Linked DNA regions of Bombyx mori. Each later gene encodes a partner of the first gene's protein in a complex. Links are inferred from orthologs where the notes say so. Each region holds a gene or a part of one and is shown in the gene's direction. Other genes may lie near its edges.

What was found.
Region 2: chromatin assembly factor 1 p55 subunit (region 1) and histone deacetylase HDAC1 share a complex: the UniProt entries of both Drosophila melanogaster proteins name them as parts of the DREAM complex. The link is inferred for Bombyx mori from reciprocal best matches to the Drosophila melanogaster genes Caf1-55 and HDAC1.
Region 3: chromatin assembly factor 1 p55 subunit (region 1) and protein lin-54 homolog share a complex: the UniProt entries of both Drosophila melanogaster proteins name them as parts of the DREAM complex. The link is inferred for Bombyx mori from reciprocal best matches to the Drosophila melanogaster genes Caf1-55 and mip120.
Region 4: chromatin assembly factor 1 p55 subunit (region 1) and uncharacterized protein LOC101741235 share a complex: the UniProt entries of both Drosophila melanogaster proteins name them as parts of the NURF complex. The link is inferred for Bombyx mori from reciprocal best matches to the Drosophila melanogaster genes Caf1-55 and Nurf-38.

What each region holds. Positions count from the first base shown.
Region 1 is NC_085109.1:4,082,580-4,086,372, forward strand, and holds part of chromatin assembly factor 1 p55 subunit, read left to right. Parts: coding exon 1-158; intron 159-672; coding exon 673-790; intron 791-1,053; coding exon 1,054-1,184; intron 1,185-1,518; coding exon 1,519-1,696; intron 1,697-2,297; coding exon 2,298-2,390; 3' UTR 2,391-3,793. UniProt on the Drosophila melanogaster protein: Core histone-binding subunit that may target chromatin assembly factors, chromatin remodeling factors and histone deacetylases to their histone substrates in a manner that is regulated by nucleosomal DNA.
Region 2 is NC_085117.1:13,607,308-13,611,615, reverse strand, and holds part of histone deacetylase HDAC1, read left to right. Parts: intron 1-79; coding exon 80-323; intron 324-692; coding exon 693-869; intron 870-1,058; coding exon 1,059-1,161; intron 1,162-1,342; coding exon 1,343-1,577; intron 1,578-1,960; coding exon 1,961-2,050; intron 2,051-3,143; coding exon 3,144-3,288; intron 3,289-4,308. UniProt on the Drosophila melanogaster protein: Catalyzes the deacetylation of lysine residues on the N-terminal part of the core histones (H2A, H2B, H3 and H4).
Region 3 is NC_085109.1:10,695,519-10,699,283, reverse strand, and holds part of protein lin-54 homolog, read left to right. Parts: intron 1-2,214; coding exon 2,215-2,422; intron 2,423-3,085; coding exon 3,086-3,209; intron 3,210-3,765. UniProt on the Drosophila melanogaster protein: Component of the DREAM complex, a multiprotein complex that can both act as a transcription activator or repressor depending on the context. In follicle cells, the complex plays a central role in the site-specific DNA replication at the chorion loci.
Region 4 is NC_085115.1:3,630,028-3,635,015, reverse strand, and holds the start of uncharacterized protein LOC101741235, read left to right. Parts: upstream 1-1,846; 5' UTR 1,847-1,882; intron 1,883-3,246; exon of another isoform or gene 3,247-3,382; 5' UTR 3,383-3,411; coding exon 3,412-3,607; intron 3,608-4,988. UniProt on the Drosophila melanogaster protein: Component of NURF (nucleosome remodeling factor), a complex which catalyzes ATP-dependent nucleosome sliding and facilitates transcription of chromatin.

The sequences.
Region 1 (3,793 bases):
GACATCAACGCGACGCCAAAGGAGGGGCGGGTCATCGAAGCGAAGTCCGTGTTCACCGGCCACACGGCCGTCGTCGAGGACGTCGCGTGGCACTTGCTACACGAGTCGCTCTTCGGATCCGTGGCTGACGACCAGAAACTGATGATATGGGACACCAGGTAACACCAACAACTAACTTTTTGAGGTTCTTTTTTATTGCCCCTTGTAGGCAGACGAGCATACGGCCCACCTGATGGTGAGTGGTTACTGTCGCTCACGAACGTCGGCAACGCGTGGGGCAGAGCCCAGCCACAGCCTACCATTTGAAAAGTTACAATTGTAAATATAAAACATTATAAATGAGACAAGATCAAGACATACTGATTATGTAATTGTGAATTGTACAATACTTATTAACTAAGAGACCTATTTAAGACAATCATGATAATAAAATCATTAGTTTGAATATGAAAGTGCTTTTCCTATCATGGCATGATAACACAAACAGGAGGTTGTTTTCACATATTTCTGCAGATAACTTGTATTTGGTATTGACCTTCATTACTTGTTAATAATTACCTTTAATTATTTTTTTATGATATAATGACACATTTCGTTTAAGTGTAATAATGAGGTATGCATATATGGTAGTAATAATTAGTAAAATAGAGCACAATTATGTTGTAATTACAGATGTAATAATACATCGAAACCATCTCACACAGTGGACGCACACACCGCTGAAGTTAACTGCCTCAGTTTCAATCCCTATTCAGAGTTCATTCTTGCTACTGGCAGTGCGGATAAAACGGTAATGTTACTAATTTTAATTCAAATATACACATCTAACAAGTCAAAACTTCCATAGCGTTTTGCTTATTATTTAATTGTAATATTTATATATCAATTTTTTGTAATTTAACGAAACTTGTGTTCACAAGCTTTGAATTCAATCAGCTCATGATACACTGAAAAATGAAACTACAGTTTTAATATCATAATAAACTAAATAATAAATAGCCTATCCTTAATAATAGGTTAACTACTATAACTATAAATATAATTTCCGTCTAGGTTGCGCTTTGGGATCTACGCAATTTGAAATTAAAGCTACACTCGTTCGAGTCGCACAAAGACGAAATATTCCAAGTACAATGGTCGCCACACAACGAAACTATTCTCGCGAGCAGTGGTACCGACCGAAGGTAAAATTACAGATAATTGAATTTTCAAACTTTTTGTTACATCTTGTGTACAGACAAGAACTCTCAAAATAATAGTATTAAACGGTAGGTAAAATAAAATCAACACCCATAAAAAAAACAGATATGGAATTGAAGTTGCAAAGTAAATATAAAAGCTCAGACTTCTTGTGGGCTTACAGCCACTTTTTGGGCTGATTTTAAAAATCGTAAACATGTACATCTAATTTTTACGCTTTAAATTTGGGAAAATGCACAATACTCAAGAACTGGGTTTGCTGATTGCTGTACGAGACAATAATTATTATGAAAGTTACTTCATTACTTGTTTTTTTAGACTCCATGTATGGGACTTGTCAAAGATTGGCGAGGAACAGACAGCTGAAGATGCAGAAGATGGACCCCCAGAATTATTGTTCATACATGGAGGACACACCGCTAAGATATCTGACTTCTCATGGAACCCTAATGAACCATGGGTCATCTGTTCCGTCTCTGAGGATAACATTATGCAGGTATGCTAAAATTATAGGTTGAATGTTTTTAGCTTAGATAGGCACCTTTTGGGAGAAAGCTGTCAGAAAACATTAATATTATAGTTGATCTTAATGCATAAAATATAATTGCTTTGCTAAAATATAATTTCTCCCTAGCACATAATTATTTATTGGTGTTAGAACTTCTTGTGAGTACACGTGGGTAGGCACCACCACCCTGCCTATTTCTGCCGTGAAGCAGTAATGCGTTTCGGTTTGAAGGGTGGGACAGCCGTTGTAACTATACTGAGACCTTAGAACTTGTATCTTAAAGTGGGTGACGCATTTACTTTGTAGAGCTCGTCCACATATATATGCCATAAAAAAAAAAAAAAAAACTACAAATCTAGGCTATTTGATAAATATTTCGGCACATCATCTCGGATCCTTCTAACAGTGCTTTTAGGTACCCCAAGCACCGGTCATCGTTCTTGTCGAACCCGTCGCTTGCGACTCACTGAGTTTCTCGCCGGATCTTTTCAGTCGCGGTTCAGACTTGGTGGTAGCTTCTTAGAATAGGTAGAAAAAAAATATATATTTGGTATTTGTTGTACATTGATTCGGTGCGGTATCTGTACAGGTGTGGCAGATGGCTGAGAACATCTACAACGACGAGGAGCCGGAGACGCCGGCGTCGGAGTTAGAGTCGGCCGTCAACGTCAACCACGGCTAGTCGTCCTGTCTGTACGACTCATGTGCTCTGTGGAGAGTGTGAAATAACAACATTGTTTAACATTCACTTTTTAATCGTTAATCTGTGAGATAACTCTGCTACAACCGAACAATAATGGGGTACAAGTTTTCGGAACTGTTCTTAGTTCTATAGAATTTTTATCATGTAAACGTTATACAAAACACTAAAATCTTGTTGGAAAAAATGACATTTATTAAAATGCTTTGTAAATATCATTATGAAATTTAACTAACTAATGATCTGCTATTCTAGCTAATTATCTGAGTTTTTTCGAAATATTACAAACAGCATTTTTTACTTCTAATTGAAATTACCACAAAATTTTATATTTTCAATATTTAAATGCAAAAAGTTGTCCCGTTTTTCATACTTTTCAAACTATTTGACAGTAAACAGTATATTAAACATACAAGTATAGATGTAGTGAGAAACTATTTTCCTTCGGGAAAACTCTTGATCTTTATCGGAATACGATGACACCCGAACTGTCAATGAATGATCGTATTAAATGAGTGACATTTTCATATCCATTAATAAGGAACTTTATTGTTTAGTCTCAAATGTCAAAATGACATTGTATAATATAGAGATGCTGCAACCATAACAATTATTACTTAAAACAGGATATTTACTAGGGTATTATACGAAATGAATTCCCGATATTTTTAAGTAATAATTGTTATGTTCGGGATGTGTGGACATAAGTTTCGTCAGTATTATACACAATATCTGCCTTCAGATCTATACTTCCTTATTAAGTCTACGTACTTTACTCTTTTAAGTCTAACGTCATCTTTTCCATCAGCATTTTCCTATTATTAGCAATTTTCTTCAATAAAAAACCCAGTAGTGTAAAATCACATTCTTTGAAATTCATCGTTTCTATTTATTTGGGCTTTAGTGCTTTTATTGTAGGGACTTGTTTATAAATGAGATGAAAGCTATAAACCATTCGTCGTATCACTGCATAATCAAAATCATCAAGATCTAGATAGATTTTCATGCATGGTCTACCCATCTTAATTTTGTTTGTGTTGGTATTTTTATTATTTCTGTATTCTTCCTCCTGGTTCAAAATATTCTTATTGTTGGTCTAGTTGCGTTTGAAATTCGCTGTTGAACTTTGTCAAAATACTCTTGAGTTGTTGCTGTTTTTGAATTTGCTATTTTCCGATATGAAGTACAGGTAAAACTTAAATAAAACTTTTCCGAAAAATTACGAAGTAAAATCTTTTCTCATTATATCTATAAAGTGAATCGTTACATAGCATACAAATAGGTACATAGGCTAAATATAACTTTAACATTAGCAATTGTTCTAATATTTTGGGCAATTGGTGTCTGCGCGTGACAGTCCTAAGTCAATCTATTTCATCAACATA
Region 2 (4,308 bases), on another chromosome or scaffold:
ATTTGTGTTTTTTATGTATCTTTAGCTTGTGATGTGTATTGTGAGCCTAATAAAAAATAAAAAAAATAAATTGTTTTAGGCCTCAGAAATATGCATAAACTGGGGTGGTGGCCTCCATCATGCAAAGAAGTCTGAAGCGTCAGGTTTCTGTTATGTTAATGACATTGTTCTTGGCATATTGGAGTTGCTGAAATACCATCAAAGAGTACTATATATTGACATAGATGTGCATCATGGTGATGGTGTTGAAGAAGCTTTCTACACCACGGACAGAGTAATGACCGTTTCCTTTCATAAATATGGAGAATATTTTCCTGGAACAGGTGATTACATTACTTATTTCTATTTAAACTTGTTCAAAACATTAAAGTTTATTTGAGTAATATTGAATGATTAGCACAAAGATATTTGTACCTTTTTATCACATGAAACTGAGAAAGATAAGTAATTGCAGCACTGCATTTGTTACCTTGTACATACAGCGCTGACTGTACACTCTACATCTAAAAGGTGTGTACACAATTTTACAATGATTGTACATTTTTCTGATCTAACAAAAGAGTAATATGACTCATTTAAAAACTGCTACTGGGAGAAAAAAATTAAATTATCTCGAAGATATCTCATCTCATCTTGGGGTTTTCCTATAAAGATTTTATATATGGCAATAATTGATTATCATAATATTACAGGTGATTTGCGGGACATTGGTGCTGGTAAAGGCAAATACTATGCTGTAAATATACCCCTTCGTGATGGAATGGATGATGAGTCATATGAGTCTATCTTTGTTCCCATTATATCTAAAGTTATGGAGACATTCCAACCAAGTGCTGTAGTACTACAGTGTGGTGCTGATTCTCTGACAGGTAACTATAATAACTCTAACTTTATAACTCTTGTGTCACTTTTTATTTGTCCAAGCTATTTGCTTAATCTAATTTTTTATGAAATTGAATTGATTCTGAATGTCGTAAAATCACTCATACCAATTAATAACTAAATAATAAAAATTTAGTTAATTACTGTAACTAAAATACCTATTTTTATTATACAAGGTGACAGATTGGGTTGTTTCAACTTGACTGTTCGAGGTCATGGACGCTGTGTAGAACTTGTCAAGAGGTTTGGACTTCCATTCTTACTAGTCGGCGGAGGCGGGTAAGTTGTTTTAAATATAAGACTATGTTTCACTTTTAGATAGAAACTGAATCATTATCTTTACTACTTAAGATATTTAAATTACTAGGTCAAAATAATGTAATCTCTTAATTTTTTCACAACAACTAGACTATTTTCTTTAACCATCTTTTCATTGCTTCATGTGTAATAAATTTCACAGATATACCATACGTAATGTATCTCGCTGTTGGACTTACGAGACATCTGTTGCACTTGGTGTGGAAATAGCCAATGAACTACCATATAATGACTACTTTGAGTACTTTGGGCCCGATTTCAAACTACACATATCACCAAGTAACATGTCCAATCAAAACACACCCGAATATCTGGAAAAGATAAAAAATAGACTGTTCGAGAATCTCAGAATGCTCCCACATGCGCCAGGAGTACAAGTAAGTGTTTTCCAAATTACTACATGACTAGATAAAGTTCTGATTACGATTGTTAGTTTTAACGTGTTTCCGATATTTCGCCGCTGCTGCAAACGCCATGTGGTAGGATGTTCGGAATAGATACATCTATCTCTCTAGTACTTTTTCAGTTGTTACCTAAGTTTTTCTTGTCCAATAATAATAATCAATCAAATAATAAGCAAGATTCGTAAGCGGGGTCTCTTAGTACAGGCTTGCACGCTTAAAAGGAGACCCCAATCATTGTATTATTTTAACTCGCTTTTGAAAATAAAGTAGTTTTGTATTTTGTAATTTTTTTTGTAGGCATATTTTTTTACGTTGTTTACTTTTTAAAACATCACTAAAATTCTTTATTCCTCTAGGTGCAAGCCATACCTGAAGATGCTGTCAATGATGAGTCAGATGATGAAGATAAAATAGACAAAGATGAGAGATTACCACAGAGTGATAAGGTATGATTTAAAAGTGGATTTAATCACACAGTGTTTTCCAGTAAGCCCAATTTTAAATATGCGTTTAAATATTTAGTAAAAATATTAATTATTTATTTGGGTGAACTAATTAGTTTTGTTATACATGGCTTTGAGGATAAAATATTGAACAAGAATAAACCCATAACACATTTATTCAGTTAAATATCAAAATTACAGATAGTTAAAATCTCAAAAAAATTTGCAGAATGTTATTCCAAACTCACTAGTATCTAATATGCACAAGTATTCACTCTTTTTCATTAATATTATTTTGCAAAATTCCCTTTGAATCCCTTGTAACTTTTTACTGTATTTATTTTCGTTGGTTTCAATTCGGTTCTTAAATCCAATATCAGTATCGAGTTCGAATGAGCTTTACAATTCACTAAACGTTCCTCGCACGATACAATATGTTTTCGTTATTTTTGTTTCCACTATTTGTGAGTGCTTTTCGTGGTTAAGAGATAGATCTCGTTGCCGCGTGCTGCATTTGTAACAGTACCGTAGATTGGGGGAATCGGGACCCTTTCCAAATCCAGCACAAGTTTTCAATGGTTTTTCTTAGGGTTAATACCAATAAAATTGAGATTAAAATGGTTCCGGAGGCTTAAATTTGTGATGAGTTATTATACATAGTTCATAACAAAATATACACAAAATCTGAAAAAACTAGCTTGACCCCATTCACCTTGGCTTTGGGGTGAATCATATTACGTATGGGGACAATACAGTTTTTCGATAGGGCTGGCACTATTAAGCTGTTAGGTAGGTACCTAACTTTAGGTAATTAATTTTTAATATCTTTAATGAGTTAAAAAACTATGATGACTAAATTAAACTATTTAATATTCTAAAAAAACTAAATAAAAGTAATTTTCAGTTCAACAAAGTTAAATCTAACTCAACTCAACAAAAGTATTGTGACATCCCAGATTTGTCCCTATTCGAACTTTAGTCTCTATTCCCCCCAATTTACTGTAAGATATTTCTACAGTCTGCTCTAAGTGGTGTGCGACATTGCGACCAAGCAAGATTTTGTAGTAACAAGATTTGAATGTGATACGCAAAACAGGACAAGCGCATCGCTAACGACGGCGAGCTGTCGGACTCCGAGGACGAGGGCGACGGGCGACGCGACAACCGAGCCTACCGCGCGCCGCAGCGCAAGCGTCCGCGACTCGACAAGGAACCCTTGCAGATCAAGGACGATCTTAAACGTACGTACACACATCACGTAAAACAGCGATCGGGGAAACTTTTTTATTATTACCCCAAAATATTTTTGTGTAAGTTAATATTACCCCATGGCGAAGAACAAAAAGAAAGTAATCGCTTCTTTTTAGTATCTTTCATATTATAGCCCCCATGATAATTTTAAAAAGAAAACAATAACTAAAAATTTAACGTTTCTAAAGAAGATTCACTTCAATATATACTTTTTACTCACAAAAGTTTCATTTTTACCCTCCAAAATTTAATTTTACCCTATTTGGGGTAATTTGCCCCGGTTCCCCGACCGCTGACTTAAAACATCATCGTACACACATCAAATCGAATAAGATAGCCGTTATTTTCAATGCTCTCGTGAAATAAGAAATATTGCTCGCATTGTGATCGTCGTAACAGAAAGTTTATTAATAGTTGAACACCAGGTGGTTCCCGAGATCGTATAGCGGCTACGCCATTGAAATAAACAAATGATTTATAATGCTTTAAAGATATATTTTAAGTCTTCGTGACCTAAAGGACAAGAAGTACTGGTATCGAGCGATGAGTCTGTGCTGGTGTTCAAACTGCCCTAACATGTACCAATTAATTTGTCTAATGAGATATGTACTTAACATTACTGGTGGTAGGGACCTCTTGTGAGTCCTAATGGGTAGGTTCCACTCCGCCTATTTCTACCGTGAAGCAGCAATGCGTTTCGGTTTGAAGGGTGGGGTAGTCGTTATAACTATACTGAGATTTTAGAACTTATATCTCAAGGTGGGTGGCGCATTTACGTTGTAGATGTTTATGGGCTCCGGTAACCACTTAACACCAGGTTGGCTGTGAACATCGGTAATGGCAATTACTACCACTGCTAAAGACGTGAAACCATTCATTTGAGTATGTAATATAGCTGGATTCGAATAAATGGAAATAAATTCTGCACTATGCATTAATGTTTCTCAGAACATTGTGCTGCAAGAAAATGGTTTTGATTAATTTCTCATTTATAAAGTAAAATATTACCA
Region 3 (3,765 bases), about 6.6 Mb from region 1:
GAAGTCACAATTGGTAACAACATCTACAGTAGTGATCCAAAAGTGGTGACCCCGACGTGATTTATATGAAACGAAAATTGTGATTAATAATGACGACACCAGGAGTTCCGGCAACTCAACTAGCATTGTCGCAGACTTCAGCGGACATTATGGCGATCTCGCTATCGACACGTATACCAGAATTTTGGACAGAGCAACCAAGAGCATGGTACATTAGGATCGAGTCTATACTCGCCCCACAGAAACTTGGGGATGAAGTTAAATTCGACATTGTCGTATCGAAACTACCAAAAGAAGTCATTATTCAACTAACAGATTTTCTAGCTAAGCCACCGGACACAGGAAAATTTCTGGCGCTAAAAACGAAATTATTATCAACATTTGAGGAGTCCAAAAGTCGACAAATTGAAAGACTCATAGGAGAGATGGAACTAGGAGATCAAAAACCTTCTCAGCTATTGCGCCGCATGAGAGAGTTAGCCAGAGATAAAGTACCGGACGACACCCTGCGAGTGTTATGGCAAGGTCACTTACCTACAACATTGAGGGCAATCCTTACAGTCACTGAAACAAAAGATTTAGACAACCTCGCCATGATTGCGGATAATGTTGCGGAGGCCACGCGAGTTAACCACATCTCTGAGGTCGTTAATCAACAAACCTCGAATATGGAACGACCATCAACAAGCGACACGTCTTTAATTTTAGCGGAAATAGCAAAATTAAGCGTCAGAATGACTAACATGGAGCAGTCACGATCCAGACAAAACTACTTTGATCGTAACCGTGATAGAAGTGGCTCACGATCTTCATCGAGACGCCGTACCCCACAGAACCCCAACTGGTTATGTTACTACCATTACAAGTTCCGTCAGAATGCTCAGAAATGCGTCCAACCATGTGCATGGAAACCAAGTTCGGAAAACTAGGCGTGGTACGGTCGCGGGCGGAAGCTAGTACCATTTTAGGATGCCGCCGTTTGTGTGTGATGGACTACAATAGTGGACTAAATTTTTTGGTGGACACAGGTGCTAATATTTCAGTTTTACCGGTGCCTAAAATAAGTAAATTTATCAAAAATCCTAACTATAAGTTATATGCAGCCAATGGAACTGAAATTGCAACATTTGGTGAAAAAACGTTAGTGCTAGATTTGAAGCTACGTCGCGCTTTCCGATGGAACTTCGTGCTTGCAGATGTTAAACAGGCTATATTAGGGGCGGACTTTTTAACTTCTAACAATCTTTTGGTTGATATGGGTGAACGTAAGCTTATCGATAAGGTAACAGATCTGAATTTATTAGCTTGTATTGTTGTTAGCAATCAACCTTCATTGCATACTGTTGATGTGAGTCATCCATATCGTGATTTGTTAGCGCTGTACCCCGACATTACGAAACCAGCGTCATTTAAGGAAGTAAGTTCTCATAACGTTTTGCATTATATTGAAACTACTGGTCCACCGGTGCATGCTCGTGCTCGACCACTGGCACCTGAGAGATATAAAATAATTAAGGAGGAATTTCGGATCATGCAGGAATTGGGTATTTGTCGGCCTTCTAAAAGTGCTTGGGCTAGCCCGTTACATATTGTCCCCAAGAAAAATGGAGACTTAAGACCATGTGGTGATTATCGTCAACTGAACGCTATTACAAAACCTGACAGATACCCTATTCCTCGACTGCATGATTTTACTTATATTTTGGCTGATAAAAAGATATTTTCAAAATTAGATATCAATAGAGCATTTCATTGTATTGATGTTGCTCCTGAAGATATTGAAAAGACTGCCATAATAACGCCTTTCGGTCTTTTTGAATTTCCTAAAATGACATTTGGTTTGCGGAATGCGCCACAAACATTCCAACGCTTTATGAATAACACTGTCCTACAAGTATCCAGTAGTGATCCAAAAGTAGACAGACTTATCAGATCCTACTTTCTAAGTACAAAACAATGACAATTTAGCTTAAATTAAAGGAAGTAATCTAACAATAAAATAGAACGGAGCGCCACGAACCTTTTCGAACATTTATAGGCAGCGGCAATCTACCCGCAAATAAAAATATCCAAAAAAGTTCATCAAAAACATCCAACAATACATATATTAGAGATTGAGCAAACAAAAAATTGCTTAACGACATGTCTGTCTATGTATGCATGCGATCCAGTAACAAATTGGAAAATAATTAATTCTCTTAACGTTCATTGTAGACGTGGGGGCCACGGAACTAGGTCTTCGGCCAAGGAAGGCGTGTAATTGTACAAAGTCTCAGTGCCTCAAGTTGTACTGCGACTGTTTCGCGAACGGGGAGTTTTGCAATCAATGCAACTGCAATAATTGTCATAATAATTTAGAAAATGAAGCGTTAAGGCAGAAAGCCATCAGGGCGTGCTTAGAGAGGAATCCTAATGCGTTTAGGTAAGTTTTTTTTTGTAAATATCATTAATATTTTTTTACCAGCAGTAAAATTTTATTGTTACTAATAATTTAAAGTGTTCTGGTGGTAAGCCGTCTTGTGAGTCCCCACGGGTAGGTACCATCACCTTGCCTATTTCTGCCGTGAAGCAGTAATAAGTTTCGGTTTGAAGGGTGGGGCAGCCGTTGTGCTGCAAAAACGGAGACCTTAGAACTCACGCATTTACGTGCGTATGTCTATGGGCTTCGGTGACCACTTAACGTCAGGTGAGCCGTGAGCTCGTCTATACACATCTATATATATAAAAATAAATTGCTGTTCGTTAGTCTCGCCAAAACTTGAGAACGGTTGACCGATTTGGCTAATTTTGGTCTTGAATGATTTGTGGAAGTCCAGAAAAGGTTTAAAAAAGACTTAAAATAAATATGAAAATGCTCGAAATTAAATAAAAATAACAATTTTGTTTTTCCTTTGATGTCCCCCCATCGGACGGATTCCTTTTGTTTGTTCTAACTTTGTTTTATACAAAAGTATAGGTCTTTTATTTATCGATTGAGGCACTACGAAGTCTGCCGGGTCAGCAAGTCAGCAATAAAAAAAAGTAGTCACCAAAATTGTTACAGCTTAATTTACTGTTTGTTTTTTATTAAATGAAATATTTAAAGCAAGTTTCACAGGCCGAAAATCGGGAAAGCAAAAATCGGCGGGCCGGACATCATAAGGCGGCATAACAAGGGCTGCAACTGTAAACGAAGTGGATGCCTCAAGAATTATTGTGAATGTTACGAGGTAAACTAAAAATTAATTATCAAATTACATAGTAATTAACTCGTTGCAATAATCATTTATATGAATCAGATTTTTTTCAATTATTTTCCTAAAATAAATAAATGTGATAGTAAAATTAAAATGAATGTGAAACTGCGAGTTTAAAAAAGATTAAAAAAAGACAGTGGTATCATAATTTAAACCACTGATTCTGATATGTAGTCAGTCTGTTCATTTAGCGTTTTAAAGTTGGTATACTTCAGTCTTGCTGTGACAACGAGAGGCACTCCTACCGTAAAATTGTTTAATTTAATATAATAATATGTTATTGTTGCATATTATAATGTTGGAGTGATCGTCTGGGTTTCTTATAATAAAGATGCAGATTTTCATGGATAGTTTTTATTTTAACGGAGATACACTTTTTGTGTCAGTACTCATTGACGGCGCTAGAAGAAAAAGGGGCGAGCACACGAATGACGTTGACACATATTAGACGAGTGACAGCTGTCAGTTGGTATTAACATAAAGATGCGTTTAGAAATTATACAATTCTAACATATAATGACGACCTCAT
Region 4 (4,988 bases), on another chromosome or scaffold:
AGCCTCCGTCCTGAGAAGAACTGGCAAGAAACTCAGTGGGCATGTCTTTTTTTATTTAAATATTAGTTTTTTTTTAAATATTAGATTTTTTATAGATTTTATCGGATGATCACTACTAAAATCTGCTCAAGATTAACCCTGACTGGTAATAGTGACATTGGAATCAAATACACTGACCACTAATGAAACGTTAACCATGATCATTAATTAAAGTAATTTTTTCTCGTTTCAGAGAAGCTGCCGACCCAGCAGGCACTGCAGGCGGTCCAAGACTTTTTAGCCTGTGGAGTTGAAAATAACTTATTGACTGAAGACTACCACGTCGTTGGTCACCAGCAGTTGATAAACACGCTAAGTCCTGGAGCTGTACTGCAATCAGAAATCGAAAGTTGGCCCCATTGGCTTGATAATGCTCGAAAAGTACTGGGTTAATATTTTATTTACACAACGAATAGATCGAGTATTACTATAATCGGACTTTATATTACAATGAATAAAATTAATTGAGTAAATATTCTGTTTCGTTATTTAGTTATGAATCTGAAATGTTTGAATACATGAATTTCAAAAGCCGTATAGAGACTTGGCTTGGCTTTGCCGCTGGTGTAGATAATACACATAAATTAGAGATAAGAAACTCAGCATTCAACAAAAATGTTTACAGGCGTCGGCCACTAGATGGCTTCGCTTCGATTAGTTTCTAGTATATTTCCTTTTCTCAAGCATTCAACAAAAATGTTTACGGGCGTCGGCCACTGGATGACTTCGCTTCGATTAGTTTCTAGTATATTTTATTTCTAATGAAGGATTTTGTAAATTTTCAGAAACCACAATTTGATAAAATTTAATCAATTTGTCTATAACAAATAATGATGTATTAACTTTTTATTTTCTGTGTTTAGTCACACAATAATTAAATGCCTTAACTTTAACAATATACATATAAGCTTAGGGGCATCTGCTACAAGATGTCGCTAGTTTCCATACAAAAAATATTTGTCTTAAAGTATCACAATTTCGGGGCCCTGGCCGCTGGCATTGTTGACGTTGACGAGCGACGATAACCACTTATCCTCAGTTGAGCCGTATACTCGTCTGCCTAGAAGGGCAATATTATAAAACTCAAGATACTATTAGTTATATCTGTGTGAAACGTAGAAGTTAAGAAATATTTTTTAAAGAATTATAGACCGTAACACAATAATCGTAACGAATATCATCGTGTCGTCCGTGACTACTAAAACAGTAAAGTAGGTATTCGAACCGACGAAACAAATAAAATGAAAATACTATGTAAAAACGAGATTTGAAGACAAAATAAGTTTTATTTTAAAATAACGCCATCTAGTGTTTCAATATTAAATTAGGACCAAGTGTTGGGGTCGAGTTCATAACGTTGCATTTAAAACGAACACCAAGACACATTTTATTACCACCAAGACAAATTATTATAAAGAACAGTCTATAATAGGTAATTGGAGCCAGCTATCATTTTTTAACAAATTTATTTACTTTATCGCAATTGAATTTCGATAAAAATTCAAACTACGACCTTACGTTTCATGGTACATAATAATATTATTATGATGCGTGGGCACCAAGAATTATGCTTTAATACTTATCTTTATTTAGTTGAGTAGGTCCTGTAGTTTATTGTAAAAATGAACTGAGTTCTGTATAATTTATATAGATGGCGCTAACCTAAGTTAGGTAACTCATACTTGAGCAACCATGAAAATTTGATATTCCCTATTCTTTTGCTACAGCTGTGAAAATGAAACCAGTGGTAATTTTCTCTGGATTTAGTAAACTATGTTTAGTATCTACTAAATGTTGTATATGAAAGTGAAACACGTTTGAAGACTAGGCAAAAACGCGAGAGGTTATGTTTTTGTGAAAGTTCGTTAATTAGTATACATATTTAGTTTTGTTTCGTTTCGTTAGCTTAGTATTTCTTCTGATTTAAATTTGTTATAATGATGTCTTCATAACCGCTTTAACATCTGTGAAAATGTAGAGGCAGGAAAACAAAGAAAAACTTTGGACAACTTTTCGTTTTCCTACAAAAGTATTTGATAGAATTTACAGAATATTAACTTAAATTCCCACCATATTATTGAAACAATATTTAATTTCATTCCATTATCAATTTTACATTAATTAATAATTAACAATCATTTAATTCAAGTTTGTTACATTTTTCATTATTAGACATGACTTTGACTATTAAAAACATTGGGCACATTTATAAAAATTGGGCAGTATACTGTAATACCTTCGCCTTTCTCGTTTTGGAATCGTTGACATTTTTCTTTGGATTGACGTTTTAACATGTGTTGCTATGAAAAAAGTATTATTCAAATTTCTTTTAATTACGATCCTATGCTTTACACATGTCACCGTGTTTGCTTAAAGTTTGTTTATAACAGAAATTGTGTGGAAAGTAAGAAGCGTCTATAATTGAAGCAATAATGCTTTTCGGTTTGAAGGGCGAGGTAGCCTTTGTAACTGTAGTGAGACCTTAGAACTTATATCTCAAAGTGGGTGGCGCATTTATGTTGTAGATATCTATGGACTCCAGTAACCACTTAACACCAGGTGGGCTATGAGTTGATCCACCCATCTAAGCTATAAAAAAATAAACTAAAGAAATGTTTAAAAACATTCACTATCATATCATTCGTTTATGGCGTTAGCTAGTAATTTTTATCCTATATTTCTATGGATTATTAAAGAATGCCTATAAGGACACGGTCCATTGCATTTAAAGGGAGGGAGGGACCGTTATTCAAGGATCCACAGTCCAGAAAATTGTCGAATAGTTAAGGACTTATATTTGTTGCTTGTTCTATAAGTTTTGTTTCTATAAATGTCTGATCCTAGTATTTGTGACAAAAATGGCGCGGGCAAGTTAAAATTGAAAATATCAATTGTACCAGATTTATATGAGGGATAATTTTCATTTACATTCATTTGATGCACTAATAGAAAAGGGAAGAAAGAATTATCAAACTCTTTAACAGAACCCTTCACAAAATTTGCAATATAAATTACAAAGAAAATTAAAATCTCGCAATACTGCCACGAACATATAAAGCACAAGTTTGGTGTTTTGAATAAAAATAATGAACTTCAAAAAGTTTAAGTAAAAACTAAATTTAACATTAGGATATTTGGTTGAAACTTCTCTCGTCTTCAATTTCATTAGTTTTAAAATATTAAATTTCACATCTAGCTTATAGTTTTTTTAAGATTACGTTTATCTGAATCATACGTGTGTCCACACAAAGATACTTTTAACAACTTTGACAGTCCTGTAAACTACTAAAATGAATTTAACACTGCCGAAAATTACGTAACAAATTTCGTATTCTTTTTACAGCTTACCTTGGTAACCCGTAGTGGACTAAAATGTCACTTTCACGTTGCGTTTGTGCCGCAGCTGTTCCGGTTTGCCGGTCGATAGCAAGACGATTGTGCGCTGTTAAAGAACCGACACGTGTAACTTGTTCAATTAATTCGACTGCCACACTAAAAACTCAAGTAAGGATGTACATCGTAGAAGAAAGAGGATCACCTTACACTCCTGACTATCGTGTATTCTTCAGTAAGTCTGATAGTGAGAATAATAGATAAAGATAAAATAGTACTCGAGTCGAGTGTGTCGCGTGTCTGAACATAAACTCTCTTAATCATAGTCATATTATAGTTTTAAGTGTTTGAACTTTGAAGTTCGAGGTAATTGTTTTTAAATCAAGTTCAACCAGAGTTTGTTGAAATTGGTTCTTAGTAATGAACTCCGTTTAGAATTCACACAATGTTTATTAGGAGATTTAATATCTATTTCGTTGTTTTAAATTTTTACAGCAATTATCACAATAAGACCTTTAGACTTTAGAAAACTCTCAAGCAATATTTGTTGTTACACAAGTCACCATAATAAAACCCAACAGTAAAATTTTATATTGCTAACATGATAGTGCTACATGAAATTCGGGTTTTTGATTTTAGACTTTTCATTTATTTATAGTTTGTAAATAATATTGATTTATTTTTCTAAACTTAAACTATAATTTGTACAAAAGTAAGGTAAAAAAGAAGAACCGTCAGAAACTACTAAAACTTATATTTTCACTGTACGGTAATAATAAATTTTGTTTATTTATAATAATTGAATAAAAAAATAAAGATGAATACAGTTTAAAACAATGTTTTATAGGCAAACTGAATTCAATTCAATTCATTCATTGAAACAAAAGTCAACTTAACCAGCTGAACTGACTTAGCATATTAATCTCATTTCATAACTGCTAGTATGTAATTCAACAAAAAACAAATTACTTTTATTATGACAACAATTTTATATATTAAATAATTATTTTTTTATATTTCATGTGTAGAATATTTTCCATATTTTTTACCAAAGCACAGGATAGAAATTTAAAACAATAGTAAAATTTGTTTTAATAATAAAATTGATAGTGTAGTTGATAAACCTCGGGTGGTAGCTTTCACCTCAAAATAAACGCAATGTGAAAGCTGCTACTTTATTCCTGATGTTGAATTATATTAAAATAATCTCTTTCTTGCTCTTCAAAACGATTGCAGAAAAAGGATAGGCTACTATAGGATATTACTACTAATACAAGTAAATGCCTACCACAAAGAAATTGGATTCATAACTTGTTTATTCCAAAACAAAGTCCAAAGTAACGGTTATTATTGATAATTAGCTGATGTTATCATACTGTATGAATATGTAAATTATGAAGTGGTTATTTACATAAAAAATCTTAAGATCTTGCTGATAAGCGGTAAGCATAAAATTGAATTAAAATTGAAAATATTTTTTTTACTTAAATAGGCCTTCACAGGTGTTTAAAAATTATAAATATATTCATATTATATTAATACTGATTCATTTATTATGCCTTCCTAAGTATATTTGTTATCTTTCATGGTCCTGTTTGGCTCATTCCCTAAATTCT